Linked DNA regions of Caenorhabditis elegans. The protein of the gene in region 3 interacts with the protein of the main gene of each other region in a pairwise test. Each region holds a gene or a part of one and is shown on either strand. Other genes may lie near its edges.

Region 1 (6,490 bases), on a different chromosome or scaffold from region 3:
CGAAAAGTCGATTTTTAGTTTGAAAATCTCGTAATTTTCTAAATTTTCACCGAAAAGTTTCCAAAAATCGGCCAATTTTTCTTTTAAAAAAAGCCTGAAAAATATAGAATTTTTATGCAAAAAAAATCCGAAAACCCCGATTTTCTAGGACAACATTTCCTCAAAAACCTGATTTTCTGATCAAGAAATTTCAATTTTTCAGTGAATCCCTATCCACACTGACGTCAGCCTCACTTCCGAAGACTCGAATCCACAAAACCCGTGAAAATGTCATGTTGGGAGCTCGAGATTTGTCAAATGTGCTCGATATTATCACTTCAGCCCAACGGCAATGGGATTTAAACGAGAAAAAGGAAAAAGTGGCGGCTGTTCATGCTACGAATCTCTCGAAAGATCAGTCTGGAGCCGCTGGTGGACAACAGCAACGTTCCGGTTATTCTAGATATGCTCAGGAAGCTTTTGCTCATGTAAGGGAGCCCCCTCCCCAAACTATGTGAAAATTTGAGAAAAATTGGTGAAAAATCGATCTTTCTGCTATTTTTCACGCAAAAATTCGGAAAATTTGATCCAAAAATTATGAAATTCGTGAAAACCGGCAATTTTTTCCTAAAAATTCAACATTTTCACCAAAAACCCGCTAAAAATGACGAATTCGGATACTGTAGCCCCGTTTCTGTGCAAACAACAACTACAGTAACCCAAAACACTGGAATTCACGACAAATTGCACAAAACTCAAAAACTGACGTAAAAATGCGATTTTTCACGCAAAAATTCGAAAATTTTGATCCAAATAAATGAAAAATTGAGAAAAGATTCGAATTTCAGTGAAATTATGTCCAAAAATCTACTAAAATTCAATTTTTTCAGGAAAAAACCAAGGAAATTCAAACGGAAGGCTCTTTTATTGGAAGTAATTTCAGCAGTATCAAGCAGGGACATCATGCGGTACAAAGTTCGTAAAATCCGAGAAATTGCAATTTTAAATTCAAAAAAATCAGAAATTTTATAAAATTTGACCCTAAATTCGAAAAACACCGAAAAATTCCCACATTTCGAAACAAAATTGGAAAACTTCATAAATTGACTTAAAATCCGGGTTTTTGTAATATTCTCACCAATTTTGACTGAAAAAACTCGTAAAAAATGCTTTTTTTTTTCATTAAAGTTGATCTGGAAAGCTGAAAATTCGGAAAATTTATGAAATTTTCACTAAAAACCTGTGAAAAACCAATTTGTGCCGGAAAATGTGATTTTTAACACAAAAATTCAGAAATTTTGCTTCAAAATGGAGAATTTCATGAAAAATGACGATTTTGGGTACTGTAGCTCTATCTCTGTGCAAACACCGACTACAGTAACCCAAAACGTCGGATTTGACGACAAATTGCACAGAATTCATAAAATTTGACCTAAAATCTGGGTTTTTTTTCTGAAATTTCTACTAAAAAATGTAAAAAACGCCAATTTTTCACAAAATTTTCAATTTTCCAGAAGCACCCGACGCTCCCCCAGGCCGTCCTCCACTCGCCAAGCCCATCCAGCTTCTGACGTCATCAACTGCCACGTCATCAGGCTCATCAGCAGCTCAAAATGGCTCAAAACGGACGTCTCGCTCCCCGATCATCATCGTTCCGTCGGCAATGAATACGATGATAAATTTGTACAATGTTCGAGATATTCTGCAGAATTTCAGCTATGTTCCTGTTGATCAGCGACGAAAAGAGACGAATAAGAAGCCTGTCGATTTGGCTATTCAACGGCAGAAAAATGGTGTTACTTGTGCGTTTTTTTGGCTGGAAATGCGATTTTTCACGCGAAAATTTGGAAATTTTGACCCAAAAAATGAGAAAAACTAAGATTTGTGCTTGAAAATCTGAATTTATTGGAAAAATTTGAAATTCTTGAGCCAAAAATGCTGAAAATTAAACATTTCGACGAAAAAAACCCCGAAAAATGACGGTTTTGAGTACTGTAGCCCCATTTCTGTGCAATCACCGACTACAGTAACCCAACACATCTGAATTTACGACAAAATTCTGAAAATGGTCAAATCCTTCTCGAAAACTTGCGTTTTGCCTGAAATTTACGATTGTTTACGCGAAAATTCGAATATTTTAACCCAAAAATAATGAAAATCGTAAAATCCACCGGTTTTTGCGCAAAAATGGAAAATGTTGACTTAAAAACTTGAAAAATGAGACGATTTTGGGTACTGTAGCCCCATATCTGTGCGACCACAGACTACAGTAACCCAAAACACCGAAATTTACGACAAATTACACAAAACTTGAAAATAGACTTGAAAATTCGATTTTTCTCGAAAAAGTCCTTTTTAAAGTGATTTAAAATAATTTTAAGCTAAAAAATTGGAAAAATACGCAATTTTTCAAAATTTGTTTGGAAATTTGAGCAAAAAGCGTAAAACCCTGAAATTTCGAGAAAAAAACTGAAATCTTCACCTAACCTTTCGAAAATACTCAATTTTAACCAAACATTTCGAAAAAACTAGACGTTTCAGGCAATATTCGCTGCAAAAATGGTATTTTTTGGGATTTTTAACCGATTTTAAGCTAAAAATTCGAAAAAAAAACAAAAACTCCATTTTAACCTAAAATTTGAAATTGATTCAGACAATATCCGCGTAATCGACAATGCCGAGAAGCTTGCCAATGATGATTGGGATCGTGTGATCGCCGTCTTCGTAATGGGTGTCGCGTGGCAATTCAAAGGCTGGAAATGGAATGGAAATCCGACGGACATCTTCACCCACATTCCTGCATTCCATTTCCACGTCGACCAGGATAAGCCGGTGGCTCAAGTGATGCAGTGGAATGTACACAAGATTCCAGTCTCGGCGACGAAACGGCACATGGATAAGGCTCGATTCAGTCAAGTTTGGGAGACAATCGAGAATTTTGTACGCAAGAACAAGCCACATCTCACCGCCCGTCTTGGACTCTGAAAATTCTCGGAAATTTTCTTTTTTTCTTCATTTTTTGCAAATTTATTTATTCATCACTTTTGATTTTATTAAAAATGCCATTTTTCTTCAAACAATTTTTAATCGAAAATTCAAATTTTTAGCGAAAAAATCATTTTCCACGTGGCGAAATCGTCATTTTTGGAGTGGAGAAAATTCGATTTTCAAGCGGAAAATTGCCCAATTTTCGTCAGTTTTCGTCAGCCAGGCGGCGCGGTCGCGTCGCGGCAACAAATTTTTTAATTCGTGAATTTTCAAGGTAATATTTTGGAGAAAAATTCAAATTTTCCAGTTAAACATTGTTTCGTTTTTTGGCCAAAATTGCCTTCTAGGATTTTCGAAATATTGCTCCATTGGCCACGCGGAGCGGTCGCTTCGCGGCTTTTTTTTTTTTCATGATTACTGGCTCAAAACTAGACACTTTGAATTCCCAAGTTAAATTCATTTGTCAAAATTCTTCAAAAGAGTTCGGGGAGTAGTGCGATTCAGAAAGCAGAAAGTGAGAAAAAAATTAGAGGTATAGCACAAGTATTAGAAATATACCAAAAAATTAGGTGAAAATTAGCGGGAGAGAGGGAGAGATCATGAGTAATTTAACGGAAATTGAGGGGAAATTTAGTCCATATTCTCGTCGTCGTCAATCTTTGGAGCCAAGTAGAAGCGAAGATATCCATTCTCCTCGATCGGATACTCGACAACGACCGGAACATCGTTGCACAGAGAGAGACGAACTCTGTCGGAAAGTGCCGTCGCCTTGGTGAACTGATTCATGTACTTGATCGAGAAGTTCACATTAACCGGATCCTTGACCTCCAGTGTTACAGCCTCAGTCTCATCGTCAGTGTTGGAAGATGGGGAGTAGGTGACGACAGAAGATCCGATGTCTCCCTTTCCGGTGAACACGATGCCAGCCTTGGTGGCGGTGATGTTCAACGAGTCGGAGAACGTCGACAGATCCTTGCAAGTCTTCTGGAACTCGCCGGCAGGCATCTCACAAACGACGGCGTAGTCTTGATCCGGGATCCCGAGATGTTCGCTGTCAATGTCCATCATTTTGACTGTCACGTCTTGGGTCTTGTCACGCTTTGGATCGGCGAATGTGAAGATGATCGAGTCGCCTTCGTTTTCCTCATACTGCAATGAAAATTGGTAATTTTTGGGCTTAAAATTGGAATTTTTCGGGGAAAAATCGATAAAAAATTTGAATTTTCAATGATTTTTCAGGCGGAAATGTTGTTTTCTAATGATTTTTAAGGCATAAAATGGAAAACTCGGACTATTTTGGCATAAAAATCGATAACAATTTGAGTTTCCAGTGATTTTTCGGGTGAAAAATGCTGATTTCCGCCAAAAATGTGAATTTCTAATAATTTTTAGAACGAAAAATGATTAATTCAGACTATTTCGGCCTAAAAGTCTCTAAAAATATTAATTTTCAATGATTTTTAGTGCGAAAAAAAAAACTGATTTTGCCACTTTTGACTACCGAAAAACCACATTTTCGGATTTTTCGGGCGAAAAAGTCCGAATGAAGCGATTTTTCGCATGAAAATCCACAATTCAAGGTGAAAAATGCTGATTTCTTCGATTTAAAGCTTTTACAATCACCTTCAGCATGCAGGTATCGTCGTTGTTGGCGCACTTGAGCGCCTTCGACATATTAGCCAACGAAAGTCCGAGGTTGATGGTCCGATCGCAGCGATATGTGTCGAAAAGGCCGACCTGAACACGGAAAATTAGCTAATTTTCTTCATTTTTCCCAATTTTACCTCCAACTTGAGCGAAACCAACGCGACGTGAGACGAGTCCATAGCCTGAAGGCTCATCGCCGTCTCGGAGCAATCGAATGGAGCATCGGTGACGAGATCCTTGATCGATTCGACGATCTTCTTAAGGAGTCCGGCGTTGGCGAGCTTGGCCTCAAACATTTTGACGGGAGATCTGAATAAAAATTATGAAATACAGCGAAAAATGCGGATTTTCACGGGAAAAAATGGGTTTTCCGCGGATTTTCATTGAAAAAACGAAGGAAAATTATTTTTTCACTCAGAAAAGCGAAAAAATCGCGAAAAACCACAAAAAAATAGGACGAAATGAACGGAGAAAGTGCGATGAATGAAGTTTCGCGCGCGTTTTCGAATGAAACTTCGCGCCTCAATTTACCGCATTCAAAAAGTGCGCCAGCAGTCGTCCTTTGCGCATTCTCCGTGCATTGCGTACCAGGCATTTTATTTGACGCGCAACACTTTAGAAAAGCGGTTTTTAATGGGGAAATAACGAATTTTCGAGGCAAATTGGTTGAAAAATAAAAATTTTAAATTTCAATAAAAAAATTTATAACAAAAATCGCTGGTAAATTCATGAAAACTGAGGCCTGGAGTTTGACACTGCGTACAATACATATAATTTGACGCGCAACTTATTTTGACGAATTTTATAATTAATAAATTAGATTTAAACCTTATTTTCAGACGTTTAAAGAACAAACAAATCAACTAAAACGTCATAATTTATTTTTTAGGCATGTTTGACAAAAAAACCTCGAAAAACCAATTATTCATTCACAGAAACAACAAAAACCAAGACTAGTGATTCAAAAAGGCAACCAATCGCTTAGCAACCCGAAAACACCCGAAAACGCATAGAAAAACATAAAAAAATAAATTATTCCCGCCGAAAAATCGTTCATTTTTCCCAATACGGCCACTGTTTCTTCATGTACCATGCCGGCGGTGTGTCGGGAATATTTCCGCAATGATAGCGGTAGATGAGGAGATTGTAGGAGTATTTTCTGCAAAAACCGAGCAAAATTTTTGAAATAATCGAGAAAAACCTACCCATCGGGCTCTTTGACTTGCTCAATATTGCCAATCAGGTCAAAAGCCGTCACAACATCCCCTTCCATTTGCTCATCGCCCTCGAAATACTCGCCAGTGCGGATAGTAAGCTGGAAATTTGGATTTTCATGAAAAATTCCCCCAATTTTTTCAAATTTCCCGCCAAAAATCCCTACTTTCTCATACTGAATCGTTGAATATGTGGGAAGAAGGTCATATTCACAACACATAAGCCGCAGACTTCCGTCAGAATGTTGAGTTACTCCCCCGACCCACGAGGAATTGGTGGAGCATGTCGTTGAAGTCGCTCGTTCCGGGCATTCCTGGAAAAAATTGAGAAAATGATAAATTTCATGATTTTTACTAGGATTTGCACGATTTTTCACCCTAAATTCGTCTTTTTGTGCATTTTGTGGCAAGATCTAGTGTTTTGGGGTACGGTAGCCGGTGTTTTCACAAAAACGGGGCTACAGTAAGCAAAATTAATTAAAAAATGGGCTAAATAGCTAAGAATAAATCGTTTTTCAAAACGTTCGACAATAATTTGATGAAATATCAAAAAATCAATTAGAAACGGTAAGATTTTCGCATTTTGGAGCCATTTTGCGACATTTCGTGCAATTTGGCGTCAAATCCAGTGCTTTGGGTTACTGTAGTCGGTGTTTGCACGG
Region 2 (6,542 bases), on a different chromosome or scaffold from region 3:
AGCTTCTGAAAGTTGAATCAATTGCATTTCGACAGTCTCGAGAAGAGTTGCAGCTTGGTAGAATCGATTGAGATCCTGAAGAGTGCATTTTCTCATGAGACGACGAGCTAGTTGAGAGCAATCTGGCATTCTTGCAAGAATGGAATCGCGGAGCTTCTGACGGATTGTCTGATTCTCGAACAAAGCTTCAACAATATCCAGTCGCTCGTTGATGTGATCGATCTGGCAAAGTGGACGAGAAAGCCAATCACGGAGCAACTTCTCTCCAGGAAGAGTCTTGCATTTGTTTAAAACATTGTAGAGCGTCAAATTATTCGATTTCTCTGAAATTAAATTATTTTCAAGGAAAATGTAACATTATAACTCTACCCAAATAATTATAATTCAATTGGAAAAGCTCCAGAGCCTCCACAGCACATGAATCAATCAGCATATTTCCATGAGTTCCGTAATTGAAAATACTATACTTCTCAGAAATACTGTATTCATCGGCTGCGTTCGAGTGTAGAATTTGAAGGCATTCCTTGATGTTTTCGTTTTGTTTTTCGGCTTCATCTTTATAATCCAGATGAACCGACTCGATTACATCGCTCCATTGTGACTTTGGCTTCAGCTGTTGCTTGTTGTGAACCTCCATTCTCGTGAACATGCTTGCTATTTTCTTAGCCTTCGGTGCAACTGATCCTTCATTCACTAGAATATATTCTGTGGGGCATAGTCCAAAAATGCATTGTTCCGTTTGAGAAAAAGAAGGAGTATCGATGTATTCACTGATCACAATGCGAACATTTCCAGCATCCCAAGCGCACAATGTTACTCGATTCTGAAATTGGGAATTAATTTAAAAATCTAAAAATCTATAAATCTCTAAATCTAAAAATCTATAAAAATCGTCATACATCATCATCTCCTGGATGAATATAGATTGCAAGAATCGGAGCCTGATCTGACACTCCAATTTCTTGCTCAAAATCCACAGTATTTCCTGGAGATCCACGCTTCGTCATTTTCCACTCTCCCTGTTCACTCGAGTATAGCTCAACGGAGCATCTGAGCAGTACGATGGTTTCACGAACGACCTTCTCGTATTGTCCACGATTTACGGAAATGTACTTCATTTGTTGAGAATTGTCGGCTGAAATTTCACATTTACAGATTTTATTTTGATTTTTCGAGTCTTACTTGATAAAGTGAACGTTTTGACGCAAACATCACTCTTGAAAATGTTAGTAGCGACAAAGGTGGCGTCATCGCCATACACAGAAAAGTATTCGCCTCGTGAGAAAATGGCAATTGTGTTCGGTGATTTAGATTTTAGGATTTTTAGGAGCGCTTTGTCGCTGGCTTCGTCTTTTCCTCCACTCATTTTCGATTTTTTCGCTGAAAAATTCGAATTTTTGTGATAATATAGAGTAAAAGTGAAGAAAAAAGAGTTCATCAACGAAAAATGATTCGACAGAAAGGCCGCTTACTTTTGAAAAGAAATTAAAGGTGCATACAGTATTTCTGTAAAATGGTCCTGCAGGGAAATAGTGTCTCATTGTTTTGGGATTTTTAGCATTTCTAAATTGAATTTAAATGATTAAAAATTAAACAAAGAATATAATCAAATTATTTAAAAGTTCTGTAATAATTTAGATTTTAATAAAAAGAAGGCGAAAATCACATGTTATGCTTACTGTTAAAGATTAAAGGCACATACAATAATACGGTGAATTGGTTTCGCAGGGAAAGAGATACGGTGGTTTTTATTTTTAAACTAATTTTTGTTTCATTTTTCCTTGCAATTTTAACTCTAAACATAATTATTTTAAAAAATTTCGAAAAATATCAAAAGTAAAGTCTTTTTTCAAATTTCTTCCATCGCGCGCGATTTTCCCTTTTTCATTCTCCGTCTCCTTCTCTTTCTAACTAATTTTCACTATTTTCTAGGTTTCAAACAATGAAGTTCAGTTCTCTTCTCCAAGATACTGCGGCAATCGACGTGTTTATCAGTGAGCAGACTGATTATTAAAAAATCTATGAAATATCTGAAAAAATTGTCTTTCAGAAATTTTGACATCAGTGAGCAAATTGAGTAAGAAAAGATGCTGCGTCAAAATAGAAAAGAATGGTTTTAAAAATCCTGTTTTATTAATAAAATTCTATGAACTTTCAGCTCTCAACTTTATTTGCTGTTCAGGACTCCATGATGGTGGAAGTTGGTTCAGTTTATCAATTCCCTATAGCAGTCAAATTTTCCGAAAATTCGATATGGTTGGCATGAATCCACGAAACGAAGAGCAAAATTTGATTTATTTTGAATTGGAAATCGATAGTTTAGTACGTGTTCTGCCCGGCGGACACTGTTATCTGAAACTGAAACTATCGAAAAGTCAAAAAGATGAGCCAATGTTGTCTGTCGAAGTTAGAAATCCAGAAGCCGATATTGTTTCTCATCAAATTCCAATCACAATTATTCTATCAAAATATTGGAATTCGTACTCCAGGCCGTCAATTGGACACAGAAAAGTAAACGATTTTATGATGATAATTATAACTTTACATTAATTTTTTTAATCTCTATTGAAAAAATATATTTACAGATGTCAATCAGCATGCCACCTCCTAAAATGATGTCCCGTTTCTTACACGTCTTCAAAAATATGAACACTCGAGTTGTGGTAATAATATATACACAAATAAAGTCCTGAAATATAAGTTAATTTCATCCAGAAGCTCACAGCCAGTACATCAGGAGATTTGAGGATTTCTACGAAAATTGAAACTGGCGAGATTGATGTAAGCTTCTCGGATCTTCAAACTAATCCATCGGAAACCGATAGTCAAGAGGATACTGCAAAAGTTCAATTAATGATTCGAAATATTTCTCCATTGTTTCAAAGTTTCGCCAACACTCGGACACGTGCCAAAATGAGTAGGATCGGAAATATTTTGATAATTTTTAACAAAAAAAAAATTTTCCAGATATCATCTCAAATCGAATGGCAGAATTCAATTTTCACAATGAGGATTGCGTTCTTTCGTATATTGTTGGAAATGTTTCGGATTAGAAATAATGTTTTTTGTCGTTGTTTGAATGCCTAATTTTCTAGATCTCATAAATTCTGCAAATAAATTTTTTATTTCTTAAAATATATATCCATTTATCAACTGGCTTATTGGCTTTGATTTTCAAAGCATCTTAATTTAAATTAAGTTTAAAATCAGAATATCAAGTTTTTCAAGCGAATTTTTAAACATTTATTTTTTGATAAACTGTATAAAATTCCAAAAAAAAGATAAGCTTGAAAAAACTTTTATTTTGATAGCCGAAGTTCAAGAGGAAGTTGAAAAATAAATTTTTTTTCTAAAATTGCTGGAACTCAGGCAACTCAAATCTAATATGAAAATATTAAATAGCAATATTTTTGTAGTTGGGTGATATTTCAAGATAAAATCGCAATATTCCGAGACTTATTCGAAATCTTTTTAGATTGAGCAATATTTTGAGGTTGATTCGCAATATTTCTGAATCTGAAAATATTACGAAAAATTCGTAATATTTTGAGATGACATAGCAATCTTTTGAGATTGGTTCGCAATCTTTCTGAAATCTAAAAATATTACAAAAAAATGTGTAATATTCTAAGATTAATTTGCAATCTTTTTGCAGTCCATAAAGATTACAAAACATCATTTCCAAATTCCCATCGGCTTCACATGATCGTGATATATATACAACAATTATGATTACTGTTCCGTTCTAAATTCTCTTTTCTTCCAAATGATGAAAGACTTTTCAAAGTAAAAAACAGCTACATGAAAATCTATATAATGGAGTATCTCACTGTTAACGGATATTTGATTTTTCGTTGCATATTGTAGAAGGAGTTTTTGCAGAGAAAGCCACAGAATTCACAAATCTGTCCACTCATGTAATTTTTTCTAGATAATTGGCCGGTCATATTATAAATTCAGTCAAACAATCACGAAGATTGGTCGAATATATTAAAGTAGACTTACAACTATTCATTCACGCGTGATGCGTTTGAGATTTTCTGATTTCAATTGAAATCATAAAATATTGTCAACAGCAAGCATGTTCCCAGTATACTCATCATTTTAATCAAATTGTTAGCGAAATAAAATATTGAAAAAATAAAATGTTATTCTCTCTTTGACAAAAATTCGGAAAAATTGCAATTCTAACATTTTTAAAAGCATAACAAATAAATCGTTTTTCCACATTCGCTTTCAAAGAAAGTTATCCAATTTCGCTCTGACACTTAGAAAATTTGCGAAAAGTCACTGATTTCCCATCAAAAGTAACGAAAAGGACGTGCGCCCATCAACTATTTACTTAAGCAATAACTAAATCTAGATGCGACACGTACAGGATGGCTCAACAGGTAAGATAATGGTTCATAGACTCAACGACAAGCGACGGACAAGTTCAACTCCCCTCAATGCACAGGTGATTCGCCACGGACGCATAATGCCTCAAGACCCATTATGCGCGTGTTTGCGAACGAGGACCTCACATTATGTGCGTTTTTGCGAAGCGTTCGCAGAAACGAGCATAATGCCTCGCCGATGGGCACAATGCGAACGCTCGCAATGTGCGCATTTTGTTTGGCCGTTATTCCCATCATTAAAGTGCTCATTTCAGTTAGTTTAAAGCTATTTTTGTTTGAGTTCTCTGTTTATTGACTGTTTTTTTGCTGATACTAAAGTTTCTGAAAAACAAAACTCTCGATTTAGAAGGAACTTGTCAGATTTCGAAAATCATAAGGCTTATGATATAAAATTTTTGATGAAATTTTTTTGTTTTGAAAATTTTTTCGAAAACATGTTGAACGTGTAGAAAATGATCAGTTTGATATTTTCTACAAGTGTGAGATTTCACAATGAATGTTCAGCCAAAAAATCATGGAAAGTCTAGAGTTGGGTCATTGAAACATAGTATGTTTGAGAGCTCCTAACATCCTTGAGACGTAAAATACAAAATTTTCTTCAACTGAAAAGTTGTCAGAAATGAACTGAACAACAAGTTATTAGTTGGCAATATGTTTCTATCTTGCATGTTCGAGAAGATGGGCGCAGTTGAGAAAGAGCAAAACAGCACTGACTTCGACAAGCCATATTTTGGCACATTACACATATAGGAAACATTTTTTTATTTTTAAAACATTCTCCATAACTAGTTAAACAAATTTGTTGTTGATCGTTTTATGATATCTTTTATGCCCAAGGAAACTCACGGCTTCAAAAACTTATACTATTTTTCGAATGCTTCAAGAAATAGTCATTTTCTCAGCTAAAAACGTTCTACCCAATGTTTAAATTGACAAAAAATAAAGTAGATATAATTTACTACGATATCTGATAATTTAGAAGCAAGTTTTCAAAAAAATTTTTTTTTGGATGTTTGAAATTCATAAGGGTCTCCCCTTATGATCCGCATTGAAAATCAGAAGGGTCCCCCCTTATGAAAATTTTCAAAAATTTTTACGAAATTGTTTTTTGAAAACTTTTCAAAATACGATCAGATCTTTCAGAAAAATGCGATGTCGGTTGTTTTTTTTCAGTTTGAACGTTCAGAACACGATTTCAGACGAACACCTGAGGCTTAGTAGAACCTCTAAGTTCAAAAAAGGCATTCACTTCGAATGCTTATATCTCCGTGGAAAAAATTATTATGACAAAGTGATTAACTACAAAGTTGTTTATCTCGAGTTAAAGTACAACTTTGTAGTTAATTGTTTTTTATCAAAAAATTTGGTGGTTGAGATATACAGAGAGAAAGAGAAAGAAAATACAAGCATGAAGTTGCGGCACTTCTCACAACTTTATCTCAACCACCAATTTTTTTGATAAAAAATGATCAACTACAAAGTTGTATTTTTAATTAAGATAAATAACTTTGTAGTTGATCACTTTGCCATAAAAAATTTTTCCAGTAAGATATAAGCATACAAAGTGAATGCGATTTTTAAACATAAGAGTTCTACTATACCTCCGGTTTTTGTCTAAGCTTGTGTGCTGAATATCCAAACTCAAAAAAACAACAAACATTGCAATTTTGTATAACATCTAATTAAAATTTGAGAAGTTTTCAGAAAAAAATTTCGAAAAAATTTTTGAAAATTTTCATAAGGAGGGACCCTTTCGATTTTTTTTTTCGAAAAAAGCTTTAAAATTTTTTTTCAAAAAGTATCAAATATTTATGAGATATTGTAGAAATATCTTTACTTTGTTGTTTCTAAGCATTTTCTTGCAAAATTCGATGCTTTCGATGAGTCAAAACGGAATTCTTTGGGACACTGAACAATAAAACCTCCTGTCTTAAAACGGTTGTATCATTTTCTAGAAACGAGATATCAAAAAGTAATTAACTACAGCCTTTTAAAGCTTAAAGCAATAAACATTTTGATAGTTGTAATCATTTTTTCATCTCTATCGAGAACCGAGATATAGCTGAGCACAGATCTAGAATATTTTGGTCATCTTTTGGGGCTCACATCTCCACAGTCACTAAAGATAACAAAAAGATACCAACT
Region 3 (8,812 bases):
AGTACTATTCTTTCTTTGCCTCTTGAAAAGAAGACATATTCATTTCGCAAGAATTTCGATGTCAAGGGTAGGATGTTGAAGGTCGTATTGGGTGAATCATTGAGGTATAGGATGAGATTGTAAACATTTTTAAATAGATTGTAGAAATTTTTAAGTTTTTTGAATCTTGTGGGGGCTAGTAAAATCTGTTTTTAATAAATTTTAACGAACATTTTTTATTTTCTTCATGAAAACTATCACAGGTACACAAAATTCTGAGAATGCGTATTGCACAACATATTTGACGCGCAAAATATCTTGTAGCGAAATCTACAGTAATTCTTTAAATGACTACTGTTGCGCTTGTGTCAATTTACGGTCTCGATTTTCGAAATTGATTAAAATCATTCATTTATCTATACACATAGTGTCAGGCTGTCCCATTACGGTTTGATCTACAAAAAATGCGGGAATTTTTTGCAGAAAAAAATGTGACGTCAGCACGTTCTTAACCATGCGAAATCAGTCGAGAACTTTGCCCGCATTTTTTGTAGATCTACGTAGATCAAACCGAAATGGGACACTCTGACTTGTTTTATGCTAGAATCCTGCAAAATCATGTGAAAATTTAGCTATTTTTAAAGAAAAATAGCCTAAAATGACCGATTTTCCGCAAAAAAAGGCTCAAGAACATTTTTAAGTACAGTAACCTTAAAGGCGCATACCCAAAATCGCTACTTCGGCACGTAAATCGACTGCAGTATCCATTTAAAGGATTACTGCAGTTTTCGCTACGAGACATTTTGCGCGTCAAGTATGTTGTGCAATACGCATTCTCAGAATTTCAAATTTTCTTGAATAAAAACCAAAAAAATCAATACAACAAAACCCAAAATCTGGTGTGTTGCTGGTAGTATTCTCTGAAGAGTAAACTGGCGGGATCTACTTTCACTAAAAGCTTTTTTCGTCCGAAATCCCAAATCCAATTACATTTACTCCTCATCCCCGCCAGCGCCACGTCACATCGCCTTAACTAAATTTTAATTTTAATTTGGAAATTTTCAAGTCTGATATCCGTGCCCCGGGTGCAAGAAAAGTACTTTTGTAGATTAATTCTGGCCACCCGGACCGGTCAAATTCAATGACGAGACTTGAGAGAGAGTGTGTGGGATTTGAGAGACGCAGAGAATAAGAACGAATGGGGGATAATTGTCCACCTCGAGAATTATTGTGTACGCGCGGAAAACTGGATATGTTTCTTTTTCAGGGGTTTTTTAAGAAGGATATTTGATGGGACAATGGAGAAAAATCGGGAAAAAGGGATTTACAACTGGAAAATTCAAATTTTGCGCGTCAAATCTGGTGCATTGAATTTTTCGCGCTCCATTGACAATCTCCTGCCGGAAAGGACATTTTCCACGTGGAGTACACGGAACGTGGCCTAGAAAACTTTTCTCGGGTTTTCACGGGGTTCTGGCCTTCCTCATTGCATTTTTTGTACTCCACGCGGACAAATGCATTTAGTTTTACAACTAAAATCGAGCCGCGACGCGACACGCAACGCGCCGTAAATCTATCCCAGATATGGCCGAGCCAAAATGGCCTAGTTCGGCAAACTCTTCCATTTCAATTTATGAGGGAAGCCAGAACTCCGTGTCTGCAGAACCTAAAGATTTTTAACTCAAAATTGTAGAAATTAGGCTAAAATTGCACTTCAAGCTGAAATTTAAAAAAGGAATGCACTAGATTTGACGCACAAACGTTAGAAAATTTGAATTTCTCGGGTAGTGCAAAGAATTGTTAAGTTGAAAAAAATGCATCAGATTTGACGCGCAAATCTTGAAATATTTGCTGACATTGAGTTTTCACAGTTTTTTTTTAAATAAATTAAAGTTTTGATTACTTTTGATTAAATTTTTCGAATATTTTGTCTGAAAGTTTCACGTGATGTCAGAGTGTCTCATTTCGGCTTGATCTACGTAGATCTACGAAAATGCGGGAGTTGAGACGCAGAGTTTTCAACTGATTTCGCATGGTTAAGAACGTGCTGACGTCACATTTTGTTGGGCAAAAAATGCCCGCGTTTTTGTAGATCAAACCGTAATGGGACAGCCTGGCACCACGTGAAATTCCAGAAAAAATGTCTGAACCTACTGTAGTTCACAATTTAAAGGCGCATACCAAAAAATTATAGCGGGAATTAAATTTTTATTTAATAATTTTTTCAGTTACAGAGCAATTAAAAAATTCAATTTCATCAAAATTTTATAGACCAATTTTCTCGCTTTATAGCTGAGCTCCGCGAGCCAAAATAGGAAGGGGAGCACGAAAAAAAAACAGAAAAATGAGCTCGACAGAGCCCATAGCCTCAAGCGCTAACGAACCAAAAAATGCACACACACACAGGAGGCGGAGTCGTGGAAATTTCGAAAAAAAAAACAAGATTTTCTTCTCTCTCGGCTCAAATTTGAATGCGGAGCAAGAATATTACGGGAACAAAAAATTCTGAGAATGCGTACTGCACAACATATTTGACGCGCAAAATATCTCGTTGCGAAAAGCAAACTACAGTGATTCTTTAAATGACATTTGTAGTGTCGATTTACGGGATCTCGATTTTCGAAATGAATTCATTTATCATTGATCGAGCCCGTAAATCGACACACGCACTACAGTAGTAATTTAAAGGGTTACTGTAGTTTTGTTTTCGCTACGAGATATTTTGTGCGTCAAATATGTTGCCCAATACGCATTCTCAGGATTTTTTGTTAGCGTAATAAAATAACAGAAAACACAGAAAAAGGCATGAAATTTAATTTGAAATACCGCGCTGAGTTTTCTAGGCCACGTGTCGTGTACTCCCCGTGGACAAGCGGTTTTTGCCTTATTTTTCTGAAGTACAAATTCTCAAGTACAAGTAAAAAAGTACAAATTTTACCAAATTTGAGGAAAAGAACTAGCATGACAAAAATAGAATTAGAAAAATTCTAGAGAAAAACTACGGATTTCTGGCTTCCCTCATAAAATGAAATGGAAGAGTTTGCCGAACTAGGCCATTTTGGCTCAGCCATATCTGGAGTAGATTTACGGCGCGTTCCGTGTCGCGGCTCGATTTTAGTTGTAAAACTAAATGAATTTGTCCGTGTGGAGTACACGACTTTACCACGCGTTGTCCGGCAGGCGATTGTCAATGGAGCGCGAAAAATTCAATGCACCAGATTTGACGCGCAAAATTTGAATTTTCAAGTTGTAAATCCCTTTTTTCTTCCCATTGTCCCATCAAATATCCTTCTTCAAAAAAACCCCTGCGTCTCTCAGGCCATATCTGCGGTAGATTTACGGCGCGTTGCGTGTCGCGTCGCGGCTCGATTTTAGTTGTCTGGCGGGCGATTATCAATGAAGCGCGAATAAATCAATGAGGAAGGCCAGAACCCCGTGAAGATCCAAGAAAAGTTTTCTAGGCCACGTTCCGTGTACTCCACGTGGAAAATGTCCTTTCCGGCAGGAGATTGTCAATGGAGCGCGAAAAATTCAATGCACCAGATTTGACCACGCGTCGTGTACTCCACGTGGAAAATGTGGACACTAGGGATCTACTAAATGCCTGGAAAATCGTAAAAATCTCGAAACTTCCTAAAGAAAAAAAAAGCAAATACACAAAAACGCATTGATGTATGAACAAATTGCCCTCCCCGTCTCCCACCAAAAACTCCCAAAAATTGCTCTTTTTTCATGTTTATATGGGGGACCGCGGGATTTCATAATAGCTCCGTGGTCCGCTCAGCTCATCCGGAGCCAAAAAGAGCACACACACACACGCACACATAAAAGTTGTAAACTAGTTTCGAGCAAAAATGATACGACGGATGAGTGTGTCACGCAATCAGTGAGCTTCTCTCGCTTTCGAAAGAAAAATCTTTTTCGCAAAAAGAAAAAGTACTTTACACTGGCCACAGTGTAAAATAAGGGTGAAAAGATCGAAAATCGGAGGTTTCAAATTTGAATTTCCGCGCAAATGAGAGGGACGAGGTGCGATGGCCTACAAAACTCCGCAGGTGTACTCCTCTCGGAAAACGGTGCGAGAATTAATTTTTTAATTTATATTTAATTTTCAGCGATTTTTCTCAGTTTTCCGGTTAAAATTTAAATTTTTTCAGGAAAAATGATGGAATTAGAAACGGGTCAATGCACAATTATGGAATTGAAAAAAGAAAATGTGAAGGAGCTCGCGCAGGTCTTCAAAACCGTCGCTTTTAAGGATGTTAGTGTTGGAAAATATCGATATTAATTTCATTTTTTTTGAGAAAAAATCTAAATTTTTCAATTTTCCAGACAGGAACGTGGCACGCTTCCGAGGCGGGCATGAAGATCACAGTCGACGATGGATCCTATCAGCTGGCCAGCGTTTTTATCAATCCGGCGTTCTTCTCGAGTTTTAAAGTTCGCGAGGAGATAGTTTCGATGAAAATCTCGATTAAATCGATTTCTGTGAGCCTTTAAAAGCCCATAAAAGCCCAAAAAAGTGGCAAAAAACAAAAAAATTCCAGGAATTCCTGAGCATTTCGGAAAACTCGTCGAGTTCTGTAAAAGTCTCGTATCCGGGAATGTTTCAGCCTGTGAAAATGCTTGTTGAAGACGCAGACGGATGGGTGGCACGTGGCAATTTTACAACAACGCTGGCAGATCAAGTTCGCCGGGTTTTCGAAATTCCTAGATTTTTTTTTGTCTATTTTTAGGAGCTCGACTTTGAATTCGATGACGCTGGTGTGCTGGCGACCTATCTGCTTAAAACTCAAGTTCTCAAGGAGATTATCAAGGTTTTATCATTGAAACCTTTAAACATTCGAAAAAAATTTATTAAACTCCAGACATTTTCCAAAAAAAATTTTTTTTTTTGGATTTTCGAAAAAAATGTTTTTTTTTTGAAATTAAATAAAAAACTTTTTTTTTTACTTTTTTAGTGAAAAAACAAAAAAAATCGGTTTCCCTTCAGAAAAATCGGTGTTTTTCGGTTTTTTTCATATTTTAAAACATTTTCTGAATTTTTTTTTTGACTTTTTGGAAAAAAATTTTTTTTTGGATTTTTTCAAAATGAAATAAAAAACTACTCGAATGTCGCAAAAACAAAAAAATTTCTTTTTGTTCTGACAGATTAACATTTTTTGGTTTTTTTCGACTCCAAAAAAAAATTTCTGAAAAAATTAGCTTTTTTGAAAAAAAAACCATTTTTTTTTAAATTTTTTAGTCGAAAAACGAAAAAAAAAATCGGTTTCCCTTCAGAAAATTATTGTTTTTGGGTTTTTTCCCACATTTTAAAACATTTTCTGAAAAAAAACTTTTTTTCGACTTTTTTGAAAAAAAATTTTTCGGTTTTTCCGATTTTCTAATTTTTCAACAAAAAAAGACGAAAAAAACCAGAAAATTCCGAATTTTAGAGCCAAAAACGAACATTTTCCGTTTTTCAATTTTGAAAAAAAAAACGTTTTATTTTTATTTTTCGATACTTTTTTGTCGAAAAACGAAAAAAAATGTTTTCCGTTCAGAAAAATCGGTGTTTTTTGGTCTGTTTTTCATATTTTAAAACATTTTCTGAAAAAAATTTTTTTTTCGAATTTTTCATTACTTTTCAAAAAAAAAATCCGTTTTTGATTGAAAAAACCTTGATATTTTTCCGATTTTCTAATTTTTCAAAATTAAAAAAAACCAAAAAAAAAATCCGAAAATTCCGACTTTTTGAGCTAAAAACGAAAATTTTCCGTTTTCAATTTTGGAAAAAAAATTTTACTTGAAAATTCGATTTTCGCTTAAAAAGTAGTTTTTATTGTTTCAATTTTTCGAAAATAAAAAAAAATCGATTAAATTGCAGAATTTCCAACCCAAACCCAAAAAAATCGACGTCCAATACTTATGATTTGACGCGCAAATTCTAAAATTCAAATAAAAATTCTTATTTTTGCATTAAAAAAATACGAATTTTTAATTTTTTTTCTCTATTTCAGGACTTCGATGACACAAGCCGAACGGTGAGAATTCAATTCACCAAGAATTCACTGTGTTTCACGACTTTCGGTGATGTTGGCGAGACTACAGTAGGATTTTTCAAATTGAAAATTAAATAAATTTTAGGAAATTAAAAAGAAAAAAATTTTAATTTTTTAACTCAAAAAAAAAAAAAAAAAATTGTTTTGAAAAAATATTTTTTAAAAAATTAAAACCAAATTTTTTATACTTTCAGGTATCAATACCGTCTCGAAGCCTTCAAATGGAAAGTGTAAAGTGCCTTGAAGAAGTTGAATTTAGCTATCTTCTGTCGCTTATTCAACGAATGACTACCGCCTTTATACTGGCTACAAAGGTAGTTTCTGGAAAGAAATTTAGCCTATCTGCTAGATTTTTCCTAGTTAAAGTTATCATGGTTCCAGGAAAAATTCATTAAAAATATGAAAAAATTGGGGGAAAAAAAAAATTTTTTTCGAAATTTTTTGAAAAAAATCTGAAAAAATTTGTGAAAATTATTTTCACTATAATTTTTAATTTAAAAAATTGAGCCGATTTTTTTAGAAAAATAAATTTATTTGTGAAAAAATTAATTTTCCTTTCGAAAAATATTTCGATTTTTGAAAATTTTTTTAAATTTGAAAAAAAAAATTTTCATTTTTTTTTCAAAAACAGAAAAAAATTTCGAAAAAAATAAATAAAATGTCTAAAGCATTTTTAACGATTTTTCCAATTTTGCAACAAAAAATATCAACATTTTTCCGTTTTTTTCCCCGAAAAAAAACCCCAAAAACTCCAAAATTGGCCAAAAAAATCGAAAAATAAATTAAAACGTTATGCTCCAAATCAAATTTTAGTTTCAAAAATCGAGAAAAAATTAGAAAAAATGTTTTTCTTCGAAATTTTTTTTTCAATTTTCTAAAAAAAAATGTCTCGAATTTTTTGATGCAAACTTTACAATTTAAGTTTTTTCCAGCTCATCCTCCGTGTCGACGAGCGTGGCGTCCTCTCCTGTCAATTTTCAATCGATCACGGCGAGGGAAACGCAAGCTACATTGAATTTCTGACGGTGCCCGCTGATGAAGAAGAATAAAATATTATATACATTTTTAATTTTTTTTTAATGTTCGATCCCCGAGTTTTGCAACAAGTGTACCCTCATCTCCCGGGTATAAAAACCCGAAAAACTGCACCGAAACGCACGCAAAAAAAATTAATATTTTCTTCTTTTTCGTGCTTCTTGCAATTCTCGCTGTTGATTTAAATTTTCAAATAAATATTGATTTTTATTACGAATATTGCATTTTGAAATGAGAAAAATTTTTAAAAATTGGGTTTTTTTTCAGTGAGTGTCTCGTCGAATAAAATGCTCGGTACGTAGTACACCGTCACGTCAAAATACACAGAATCGTGGATTTTTTTCAAAAAAAAAACAAGGATTTCTGGCTTCCCTCATAAATTGAAATGGAAGAGTTTTTGCCGAACTAAGCCATTTTGGCTCAGCCATATCTGGGGTAGATTTACGGCGCGTTGCGTGTCGCGTCGCGGCTCGATAGTAAAACTAAATGTATTTATCCGTGTGGAGTACACGACACTTTCCCATGCGTTGCCCGTCGGGCGATTGTCAATGGAGCGCAAAAAATGCAATGAGGAAGGCCAGAACCCCCTGAAAAATCGATGTGTTTTTAGGATTTCTTCAAATTCTAATTAATTTTTAGAGTTTTTTGCCGGCAATATTATGTGGAAAATGAATGCAAAACTTCTTGTAGCCCTAAAAATCCCCAAGTTTGTGTATTTTTAAAGAAAATTAAAGTCTCCTGCCGAAATTTTCAATAAATATTGATTTTTATTACGAATATTGGATTTTGCAGTGAGAAAATGGGGTTTTTTTTTTGCAAAAAGACTCCGTAATTGTTGGAAAAAAGACATATTACAGGAACACAAATTTCTGAGAATTGCGTACTACACAACATATTTGACGCGCAAAATATCTCGTAGCGAAAAGAAAACCACAGTAATTATTTAAATGATTACTGTAGGGCTTGTGCAGATTCACGGGCTCGTTATTCGGAATTAATTAAAATTATTTAGGGATCGATTAAGCAAAAAATTCCTTCGAAAATCAAGCTAGTAAATCGACGCTACAGTAGTCATTTAAAGAATTACTGTAGTTTTCGCTACGAGATATTTCGCGCGTAAAATATGTTGTGCAATACGCATTCTCAAAATTTTGTGTACCCGTAATACCTCAAATCGTTCATTTTCGCCTAATTTCTGCTTTTCTCAAAAAATTTGAATTTTCCGCTAATAGATTTCTTAGAAACTTTGAATTTTCCACCAGAATCCCGCTCTAAAATGTGGAAAAATCTTTTAAAAAACGTGGTTTTCATTACTCAAAAAAAAAAAATTTGAATCGAAAGAAAAATGAAATAAATAATAATAATAATAATAAAACTTTCTCGGGGTGGGGGTGGAGGGACTTGCACGCATAATAAATACAAGAAGCAGTAAATGGGGAAGGGGAGGAAATTTCAGGAAAAAAAAATTAAAAAAGGGGAACCATAGGACACACAAATCATTCTAACCCAAGTTATTCGACTATTTCTGTGCTGAAATTTCAAAATTTTCAGATTTTTTCGGGGGGATTTACTTATTTAATTTAAAAAAATGGATGGAGGGGGAATCGCGGAGAACATTCAATTATCACAATGCAAAAAAAAATTAGATTTTAATTTTTTTTTAAATTAAGGCTTCTCCTGTTGGCTCGGATTGTAGGGAATCGGGGTGAAATACGGAGAATCTGCTGACGTTGTTGTTGGAGCAGATGGAGCAAGAG
Region 4 (10,051 bases), 1.1 Mb from region 3:
TGGGATCATATGGACGAGTACTACAATTATCTTCGCTCTCGAACCGTTAAATATAGTATTTAGGAACTTTTTTAGACAATTTTTTCGTTTTTTTTTGTTATAATTTTTGTTGATCGATTGGTAAAATTTTTTTTAAAAATGAGTTTTTTATTCATAGAAATTTATGTGAATACTGTTTTTTACCGTAATCTCTTAAGTAAGGGCTGGGGGAGAACAATGAGATACAACAATTTTCAAATTATGCGAATCGTTTTGGCCAATGGGGAAAGAGAAATTTGGGAAGGAAGGGTTATAGGAAAATATGTACAATTTTTCAATTAAAAATTAGTCGGAGAGCTCGCCAATCGCGATTTTGAACTTTTTGAATTGAGCACTGAACCAGCTTTTCGCCGCCTCGATCGTCTCCTCAGCTTGCCATTCTTTGGCTTTTCGGTTGACAAGATCCTTGAATTGAGCCCACATTTCTTTGAGTTTTGTCAGTGTACGGCACTTCCAGTCACAGTTCTGAAAAAGGTTAAGGTATTGGATCTTTGATATGAAAAATTGTGATATTTTCCGAGAGGAGCACACAATTTTAATACTATTTTTATTATTAAAAAAAAATAATTTTCAGCCAAGAAAACTTGTTTAAGGTATTTCAAATTTTCAGGGAAAACTCCAATTTTAGCTTATAAAAATTTAAATTTGTCGGAAAAATTTATTTTTGAGAAAACGTTAGAATTTTCAGGTGAAAAATTCAATTTTAGGTTAAAAAAATCATGTTTTGTTGAAAACTTTCAAATTTTCGGTAAAATGTAAAGGAAAAATTGCAAATTTTAAGTAGAAAATTCAAGTTTCTGGAAAAAAATCCAATTTTTAATTTTTTAGGAAAATGTAAATATTTTAAACCAATTTGCACTTTAGTAACTATTCCGAGTGTCATTTATTGAAAATTCTGGAAAAATTCGATTTTTCGCGTTTTTCGTTTTTTTTAATCGTTTTTATATTATACCGCAAAAAATAATGTTGTGCCATGAAAAATCGGTTCTTCAATTTTTTTTTTGAAAATATCGAAAAATCAAAATTTTTCGTATAATTTTGTACATTTTTTTGTTGATTTTTCGGAAGAAAATGTCTTATTTTCCCTGATTTCCCATAATTAGAAAAAAAAACCAAAAATCGAAAATTTTCGCTTTTCTCTGAAATTTGGTAGTACTGTTATTTTTTCTATTTTTCAAATCTTTTTCGCGAACCTTATCAAGATTATCACACTGCAACGGCTTCTCATTATCACAATCCGACAAAACTGGAATATCCTTGTGCAAATGCACCAAATCGGAGCAATTCAACCGAGTATTTCCCTGCACATCAATTCCCTGAAGATCTGGGAATGATGCTTTGATCATGCTAATCGCCGGAATTGTGTCAATGTCATTGCAAGTGAGTGCCAGGAAATGGAAACCGCGAAGTGGTGATGAATGGGGCAATGGGAAACGATTGAGACCAACGCCATCACATCTGATCACTGGATCATGTTCTGACAATTCACACGTACATCCGTCCAGGCATGGAACTGATCGGCAGGCAACTGAACATTTTGGAATTTTAGATTTATTTTAACTAGAATGTATTAATTGTTTTATGTGTTTATTTCGTTAATAGGCACTAATCAGAAAATAAAGACGGAGAAGAATTTTTGCTTTAAATGCTAGAAAATATACTTTTTAAATAATTTTCTAAATGTTTTCAGTTTTTTTAAATTAATTTTTCAACTACTAGATGTTCTTTTTTAATTCGGCAGTATTCATTCATTTTTCGGAAGCAAATTCCATTCCATTGATTGACTTTTACAATTGTTCATTCAATTTTTTACATGACTCACATGAATTCACTATGATGAGTAATTCAAAAAACAATCCAAACTAGATTCTAGATTCCCAGAGTTCACTTTTTAATGTATCATCTCTCAATTCACGATGATGTGTCATAAAATAGCCGCTATGTTTGTATAGAGACTCCGTTCGTGTAATGTTGCGTAATTAAAAATCGTATATACGCATACATAGACGGTGATGATTAAGATTACAGGTTCTTAGCTTGTAAAATTGAAAAAATGACGTGTTGTAATTAAATACAACTTTAAAAATGCCTATGAAGATCCAAATTGAAATCGCGAAATTTGAATACGATTCAGAAATTAGTGGCTTTTAAAATCATGTTTTAGGATAGAGAGTTTCGGCTTCAAGAATAAGTTGTATAATGTTAATGAATTAAAAATGAAATACCTAGTAAAAAGTTACAGCAAATAATTTCCCGCAAAATTACTTGAAGATGGTCTCTTTTCTATGATATTTTTTGTGAGAAATTTTTGTATAGTTATGCATGTGATATTGTTGTATAAATTGGATTTGCTTTTTCGATGTATTAATTTTTTTTAAACTATGTATATTACCTGCCACAAAGAGGAGAAGAAGAAGAAATGCAGATGTGATGGAGGTCATGCCTAAACGAAACAAAAATGAAATATATATCCAGAAGGAGTGTATTGGAAAAGCAAACAGAGACCCAAAGAGTGGACATGGCACATTCAAACAAACAATGGAACAAAATGATTGTTGGGCATTTTGGATGAGAGAGTGATTCATATCAATAGAGACGCAGATGTGAAAGGAGAAGGGGTGGTTTAATCGATTTGGATGGGGGTCCGGTTAGTTTACAACCACAGTTTACAGCGTAGAGGTACTTGAAGTGGAATGCCATTTTTTTTTATGTTAATGGGATTTTAAGGTATTTAATTTGAAAATTTTGAATGGTCAAAAGCAGGGGTAAAAAATTCCGGCAAATCGGCAAACCGGCAAATTGCCAATTTGCCTAAAATTTTCGTCAAATTGTGGTTTTGCACATTTTTTTTTGGAAATTTCAGAATTTCAATTTTATCGGCAAGATTGTACGCATCCTATGAATGTTCCTACATCTATTTTGAAAATTAAGGAAATTCTATGAAAATATCTATAGAAAACGGGAAAACATTTCAAAAAGGCAGTTTTAAGTGCTTCCGACTTATAAAATAATCCCTTTAAAAACTTCCGGAAAATTGATATCCGGCAAATCAGCAGTTTGCCGATTTGCCGAATTTGTCGACAAAACAATTTGCCGAACGGCAACCCACCCCTGCAGGGCCCTGCTCAAAAGTACTACGATTAAATTATATAAAATCGACTTTAATTACCGAATTTAGGAATAATGATTTCGATTTAAAATACCCAAATTAGTCTGAAATTCAGAAATTCCACAACTTGAGTAAGCCTAAAACCTGAAATCTAAAAAATTTTTCCACGAAATTTGAGATTTTTGATGCTCCAGGAAACCTTTAGCCTGAGGAATAAAGAATATTTATTGCGTTTTTTTTGGAAAAGCGGGGTAGAAGAAGAAGAAGAAGAAGCGGATATGTGTGAGCAATGAAGAGGAAAAAAGCACATGACACCGAATAGTTTGGAACAAAACTCCATTTATCATGTCCAGCGTACCTCCTGACGGATAAAAAGAACGATATATGACGCATCGCTGGTTTTTCTTTTCGTCTTTTCATGTTCTGCACGGGATACCGGTTCTCTTGTGGAAACACGAGAATGCATGCGCCGCGGGAAAGAAGGGAAAATGTCAGAAATCACAAAACAAATCAAAATAAAAAATAAAAAATCGTTCGAGAGGAGTCCGCAGCGCATGGCCTAGCGACGGGGGATTCTCGTCCGTGTACTTCGAGAGGAAAACTTTTTTATTCAAAATTTTATTCTGAATTTCAATTTTTCTCTTTAAAAACCTTGAAATTTCAGGGAAATCTCAAATCAAATGCAAGCCATTCATGAAAATTATACAGATAATCCATCGTCATCAATAACAAGGGAAAGGCAGCATGAAGATATGAAAGGCGCCCAATTTGTGGTCCAATCCAATCTTAAAAGTGACTTTTTCTGGGTTTTAGCCGGATTATTTATTTATTTTTCTTTCAGTTATGTCAAGATCCATCGCAGCGCTGAGCAAAATCTCTGAAGACGTGTTAATTGAGGTTTCCGAAGGCGGGGTGAGTCAAAAGTCAAATTTCGGCTAAAAAATTATTTTTTTGTTTTTTTCCAGCTCTTCTTCAAAACAGTGAACCGTTCAAAGTTCTGCGTGTTCCGCTTTGCACCAGAATTTTTCAACGCTTGCGATGTATCAATGATTAACAAAAAAGCAGTGAATATTTGCAGATTATCGATGAAAGTGGGGAGAAATCTCAGAAATTTCGGCAAAAATTTAATTTTTTTTCAGTCAGCTCAGCGTATTTTCAAGGGCGTCGCGTTCGGGGAGAAGAACTTTGTTGGATGTGAATTTCGAATCGATCCGAAGGCTGAACGGATGATGGTGAAGCTTCAGATGAATTATGGCAAGAAAATTAGCTGCAGAATATTCGAAAAATTGGCTGAATTTTCAGATATTGAGCGAACAATTCACGCAAAGCTTCGAGAAATGGGATCAATGCTTCATAAGCCAACATATAATCGTTCTGGATGTAGAAATATCACTGTCGTTTTTGCATCGTTAGTAAAAAAAAATGAAAAGTCGCGAAAAAAGTTCTGAAAAATCTGGAAAAACTCGAAAATTGCGGATTTTTCCAATTTAAAATCAGAATTTATCGGAGAAAACTCAAAAAATAGAGTTAAAAACCAAAAAAGTCAGAAAAAAACATTTCTTCTTTCAAATACATAATTAGTTTTGCTCTGTTTCCATGAAAAATTGTTTTTATTTCAAAAAAATCTACGGAAATGGAAAAAAATTCGCTGAAATCATGGCTTTTGGTCCTTTTTTTAGAAACCGAAAATTTTTCGATTTTTCAAAAAAAATTAGGCATTTCCTTAATTTTTCTGGTTTTTTTTAAAGAAAAAGTATTCGTTTTGCTATCAAAATCAACATTATTCCAATTTTTCGATTTTTTTTCCGAAAAAAACAGAAAATTCGAAAAAAATTGATTTTTTCTGGTTTTTCCGGAGAATCATAATATTGAAAAAAAAATGTTCAAAAAATCAACAAAATAATCAATTTTTAATGGAAAAATAAGGAAAAAGGCCAACATTTTAAGCTATTTTCGAAAAATCGGTAAAACAAAAAAAAACGAAAAATTACCGATTATTCAAAAAATCTAACAATGTTCGATAAAAAATGTTTTTTTTTGTTTAATTTTTGAAATTGAAAAAAAAAATGCTCAGAAATTCTAGAAAGTTAACAAGAAATTATTTAAATTTGTTCAAAAATAATAAAAAAAATTTCCAAAATTTCAAGATATTTTATTCAAAAACTCTATTTTTTTCCCCAAAAAATCTGAAAAAAAACGAAAAATTACCGATATTTCGATTTAAATTAAAAATCGAAAAACCGACACCCTTCATTAGAACGAAAAATATTTCCTGTCTAAAAAATGTTTTAAAAAATTAGAAAAATTCAAAAAAAAAATCGAGAAAAAATCCATATTTCAGAACGCTTCTCCCAATCTTCGTTCAAATGAAAGGTGACATTGAAGTAACAATGAAAGTAACAGATGATGGTCTAACAATTCGAAATTTCCATTCATTGGACGGTGTTACAATGTTCAACATGGGAGTTGAAAAAGGCGCCAAAAAAGTAAAAACTGAGACAACAATCACTTGCGAGAAGCTCACCCGGCACAAAATTCAGATTCCCGTCGAATTTTCTTTTTCGATTAAGGAATTTTTATCGATTGTCACATTTGCCGATCAGTTGGGATCAGAAGTTTGCATGTATTATGATCTACCAGGAAAACCGTTGATTGTATCAATTGAAGCTCATCCTAATTTTGATATTGAGCTGGCGTTGGCTACGATGGGAAGTGACGATGAAATTGACTTAGATGGAGGCATTTTGGTAAGGAAATAGAATAGAGATTTTATCAGAAAAAATCGGAAAAAATTGATAAGAAAATTCAATTTTTAAATCTAATTTTGTTTATATTGATGAGAAAAAAAAAACATTAAATTGTCTTATAAAATCAAAATGTTTTCTGACTTAGAAAAATCGAAAAACCAAAATTTTTCGATTTTCCGAAAAAAAATCTTTCTCAAATTTTATAGAAAAAGAAAAGAAAACAGATTAGTGAGCAATCGAAAAATTATTTTTTTTCCTGAAATTTTCACATATATTTTTTGTTTTTTTTAAATATAAAAATATTTTTTAAAAAAGTTTTTACTTGAAAAAATGCCTAAAATACTAGCTTTTAATCCTTTTTTTTTTGGAAAGGCAAAACATTTAGAAATATTTTTTTATTTTTGAAAAAAATAAAAAATTTTTAATTTTTCAGTTTTTTCAGATTTTTCTGAAAGAAAAAATATTCATGTTGCCATAAAAATCAACTTTTATTCCATTTTTCGATTTTCTCCAAAAAAAAACATCGCAAATTCAAAAACGGCACCACTTTTTTGTTGAAAATTTATTTTTCAAAAAAAAAATGGTTTTTTGATTTTCCGGAAAATCATTCAAAAAAAAAGGAAAATCTCGTGTAAAACTACGGATTTCGGGCATTTTATCCAAAAAAAAAAGTCACTGGAAAATCCTCTTTTGAAAAAAAATCTCACTTCTCCTCGAGGAGTACACGGTCTGCGTAAATCGACACATGGCCAGTGGAGCACATTTGCATCTTTCTGTTCAAAATTATATTTTGCAGAAAGAAACTATGGCGCAGCATGAAGAGGAGGAAGATAAATCTACTGCTCATTCATCGTGAGAAATTTTTTTTTTGAAAAAATTATTTTTTCTACGAAAACTCATTCCAGAAGCTCCCGCCGAAAATCAAAAGCAATTGACACTTCAAGTTCAGGAACTCAAAAATCAAAAAAATGCTCCGAATCACTGTCACAAGAAGAAACTACTCGCTCGCAATCCCTTCCCAGCAGAAACCGCTTCGTTCCAGAAATTCCAGTCGCCGAGCAATCTTGGAGAGATCGTGAAGTGACTGTGTAAGTATAAAACCCGCAAAAAAAATTCGGTGCCTCATGCTGGAATCGAACCAGCGACCTTCTGTTTACTAGACAGACGCTCTGCCACTGAGCCAATGAGGCGCGTCATTTCTGTCTCCGTGAAGGCCGTTAGATGTCTCTTGACAATCTTTGTTTGCAGGTATGAACAACGAGAACCGTCTCCTGATCTACAAATTGTTGAAGAAGTTATGGAAATCGATAATCAACCGATGTAAGGCTGTGGAAAATACAAAAATTGAATTTTTCAAAAAAAAAATCCGATTTCTTTTTGATAAAAAGACAAATTTTGAATTTTTCCAAGAAAAAAACAAAAATAGATTTTTTTTTTTGATAAAAAAAGACAAAAATTGGATTTTTTAATTAAAAAAATTAGGTTTTATCCTAAATAAACAAAATCTGTTTTTTTAACGAAAAATATTTTTTATACAAAAAATGACATTAAAAAATATATAATTTATGTTTTTAAGTTTTTTTTTAGAGGAAAAAATTACGAAAATTTAAAAAAAAAGAGGTTTCATATCAAATATTAAACGAAAATAAATTAAAATATTTCGGCCGTTTTTAAATTTTTGCTAAATTGAAAAAATTTAGAAATTTTCAACCAAAGATTTTCGATTTTTTTTCAGAAAAAAAAACCAAGTTTCAGAGTCACCAGAACAATAAAAGAAGAGCATTCCGTAGAACAAGCAATGCAAGATGTCAGTATTGAAACAATTCCTGTAGAGACCCCCGAAGAAAATATAATTCCCGTAGAAGTAGAAATGCTAGAAGAACCTGAACAAGAAGATCAAGAAATATTCAAAATTCCCCAGCCGAAAAGAAGAAAAACCGCCGAAGATGACAGAAATAGAAAGGTAGAAAGTGTTTGTTAGGCTCCGCCCACTTTTTGGCTCCAAAAATACTTTTTTTTTAAATGAGTTATGAGTTCTTCTGATTATTTCGTAAAAAACCATTGAAATTCGAAAAAAAATTACGTAAAAGGCGGAGCTTAATTCTTGTCGGAAAGTTGGAGGGTTTGTTAGGCTCCGCCCATTTCTTGGTTTCAATAAAATTCTGATTTTTTTTTGAAAATGTTAAAGCTTTACATTATTTAATATCATTTCTCTATTTTTTTTTTCAAAATTCAGTTCGTTTTTCCAAAAGTTTTCCAAAAAAAAGAGGATGTTTTGGTACAATTTTCTACAAAAAAAACTGAAATATAGGAAAATATAAATAATTTATTAAAGGCACATCAAAAACCCAACAAAAGAGATCTCTATACACACACGCACAAAAACATTCACAGAATGCCAAAAAAAATCGATATTTCTTGCAGATTCGTCGAATTCTAATGGGAACTGAAACGACGTCTAAAATGAGAATGAGCCAACAATTCGACAAGCGGCTTGGTCCATTGGTTTCGGATACTCAATATGGTTAGATATGCTCATATTTCTGCGGTAGAACACCTGCCGGAGCACCCGGATAAATGATAAATAGTGAAAGTTGCAGAATCGAGATGACCGTTGCGATGACGTTTGGCACCTGCAAGGATAACGGGTTTTTGTTGGAAATGATAATTTGTTTGTTTTTGAAAGTTCAATTATTTTTAAAGCTCGTGTGTAATAATTTTTTTAGTTCATGAAAAAAATGTTTTTAAACACTTTTAAAATGAAAACGATACATCATTTTTCGACTTCGACAGGGTTCTCTGAAATTCAAAAAAAGTGTAAAATTAGCCATTTTAGCATAAATTTTACATTTTCCAAAAAAACACATTTTTCGAAAACTACAGTTTTGTATTTTTCGACAAAAAAAAAAGAATAACCCAATTACCAATATCACAATATCGTCAACGATATATCCATAAAACATCCATTGAAGACACACGACGAAACACGCGACACATAACGGCAACGGAAGAGATTCACTGGATTTGTTACGGACCACCTGAAAAAAGTTTGGAATGAAAATTTCAAGTGTCTAATTTGGGTTTGATCTTCGAGAATTGCGGGAATTTGGCTTAAACCAACAATTCCCGCATTTATTGTAGATCAAAGCGTGATGGAACAGCCTGGCACCACGTACGCAAAAGAATACCGTATTACCTCTATCAGTGTCCCAAAAAAAATCAATTACCTTTCCAATATCGAATAACGGCGCCGCCACACTGCAAATATTCAGAAAAATGCAATAATTGCCGACATATGTCGTTTTTGTGAGATGACTATTTGTTGAATGAGCCACCCAATAGACGACGATTCCGATGATTCCAAGTTCAATACTGATCACTTTATTCAGGAAACGCTGAAAATGATGTTTATAATTCAGATTTGCTTGCAAAAGTGGCGGCTTTTCGAAATGTTTATTCGAAAAACGGGAGAAAAAATTCAATTTTCGATTTTTTCTAATATTTCTAATTTTTCATTTTTTTCAAATTAAACTTTCTCCCAAAAATCAAAATTACCAGAGAATGCGTATTGGGCAACATATTTGACGCGCAAAATATTTCGCAGCGAAAACTACAGTAATTTTTTAAAATGACTACTGTAGCGCTTGTGTCGATTTACGAGCTCAACTTTCGAAACCAATAACTAAAATAATTGATTTATCGATAGAATATTAAAATTAGGCAACAAAAAAATAAATATTGCTGTCACTATAAGAAATTCATTTCAAACAATCGAGCCCGTAAATCGACACAAACACTACAGTATTCATTTAAAGAATTACTGTAGTTTTCGCTACGAGATATTTATTTTGCGCGTCAAATATAGTGTGCAATACGCATACTCAGGTTTTAGTGTTCCCGTAATAATTCTAACTTACCCGATTTCTTGTCATGTAGTAAAAGTACATAAGATAACACGCCTGAAGAAAACAGCCGATTCCGTTGCAATAAGTGATGACGTCATCATCTTTTAGAAGACCGTATTGAATGAATAATCCACATGACAAGAATGCTGAAATTTTGGAAATTCGAAATTTCAGCTTTTTTGTGGGAAATGGAACAACTTACACAAAAGAAATGGGGCGGGGCTTGTTCCTTCCGACGAGCCACGTGTCTT

Evidence for each region.
Region 1: the proteins of mrt-2 (region 3) and pcn-1 interact in binary tests that used the Caenorhabditis elegans proteins (3 or more experiments, as listed by UniProt).
Region 2: the proteins of mrt-2 (region 3) and hus-1 interact in a two-hybrid assay, tested with the Caenorhabditis elegans proteins (5 studies listed by BioGRID).
Region 4: the proteins of mrt-2 (region 3) and hpr-9 interact in a two-hybrid assay, tested with the Caenorhabditis elegans proteins (3 studies listed by BioGRID).

Annotation. Positions count from the first base shown.
Region 1 is NC_003282.8:4,044,526-4,051,015, forward strand, and holds pcn-1 (Proliferating cell nuclear antigen), read right to left. Parts: upstream 4,924-6,490; 5' UTR 4,911-4,923; coding exon 4,752-4,910; intron 4,705-4,751; coding exon 4,591-4,704; intron 4,117-4,590; coding exon 3,598-4,116; 3' UTR 3,412-3,597; downstream 1-3,411. Other genes in the region: cdc-73 (Cell division cycle protein 73), read left to right, coding at 203-467, 870-954, 1,494-1,781, 2,633-2,964; wrt-5 (Warthog protein 5), read right to left, coding at 5,668-5,773, 5,820-5,929, 5,996-6,142. UniProt on the Caenorhabditis elegans protein: This protein is an auxiliary protein of DNA polymerase delta and is involved in the control of eukaryotic DNA replication by increasing the polymerase's processibility during elongation of the leading strand.
Region 2 is NC_003279.8:3,696,170-3,702,711, forward strand, and holds hus-1 (Checkpoint protein), read left to right. Parts: upstream 1-1,932; 5' UTR 1,933-1,942; coding exon 1,943-1,994; intron 1,995-2,050; coding exon 2,051-2,113; intron 2,114-2,158; coding exon 2,159-2,511; intron 2,512-2,585; coding exon 2,586-2,663; intron 2,664-2,715; coding exon 2,716-2,917; intron 2,918-2,967; coding exon 2,968-3,053; 3' UTR 3,054-3,131; downstream 3,132-6,542. Other genes in the region: msh-2 (DNA mismatch repair proteins mutS family domain-containing protein), read right to left, coding at 1-323, 370-823, 900-1,135, 1,183-1,366.
Region 3 is NC_003281.10:11,742,908-11,751,719, forward strand, and holds mrt-2 (Cell cycle checkpoint protein RAD1 homolog mrt-2), read left to right. Parts: upstream 1-3,858; 5' UTR 3,859-4,055; intron 4,056-4,136; 5' UTR 4,137-4,141; coding exon 4,142-4,240; intron 4,241-4,311; coding exon 4,312-4,467; intron 4,468-4,526; coding exon 4,527-4,667; intron 4,668-4,715; coding exon 4,716-4,796; intron 4,797-5,978; coding exon 5,979-6,068; intron 6,069-6,214; coding exon 6,215-6,334; intron 6,335-6,952; coding exon 6,953-7,069; 3' UTR 7,070-7,268; downstream 7,269-8,812. Other genes in the region: gbf-1 (Golgi-specific brefeldin A-resistance guanine nucleotide exchange factor 1 homolog), read right to left, coding at 8,721-8,812. UniProt on the Caenorhabditis elegans protein: May be a component of the 9-1-1 cell-cycle checkpoint response complex that plays a major role in DNA repair. Promotes DNA double strand break-induced cell cycle arrest and apoptosis, thereby playing a role in genome stability.
Region 4 is NC_003281.10:10,617,729-10,627,779, forward strand, and holds hpr-9 (Cell cycle checkpoint protein hpr-9), read left to right. Parts: upstream 1-3,822; 5' UTR 3,823-3,828; coding exon 3,829-3,940; intron 3,941-3,989; coding exon 3,990-4,060; intron 4,061-4,113; coding exon 4,114-4,239; intron 4,240-4,287; coding exon 4,288-4,402; intron 4,403-4,450; coding exon 4,451-4,556; intron 4,557-5,489; coding exon 5,490-5,895; intron 5,896-6,691; coding exon 6,692-6,747; intron 6,748-6,800; coding exon 6,801-6,983; intron 6,984-7,001; exon of another isoform or gene 7,002-7,089; intron 7,090-7,143; coding exon 7,144-7,215; intron 7,216-7,650; coding exon 7,651-7,858; intron 7,859-8,203; exon of another isoform or gene 8,204-8,319; coding exon 8,320-8,419; exon of another isoform or gene 8,420-8,420; coding exon of another isoform or gene 8,421-8,495; coding exon 8,496-8,506; coding exon of another isoform or gene 8,507-8,528; 3' UTR 8,529-8,670; downstream 8,671-10,051. Other genes in the region: mrpl-22 (Large ribosomal subunit protein uL22m), read left to right, coding at 1-63; lron-10 (eLRR (extracellular Leucine-Rich Repeat) ONly), read right to left, coding at 325-504, 1,233-1,567, 2,432-2,480; swt-4 (Sugar transporter SWEET), read right to left, coding at 8,421-8,528, 8,820-8,933, 9,123-9,290, 9,813-9,946, 10,003-10,051. UniProt on the Caenorhabditis elegans protein: May be a component of the 9-1-1 cell-cycle checkpoint response complex that plays a major role in DNA repair.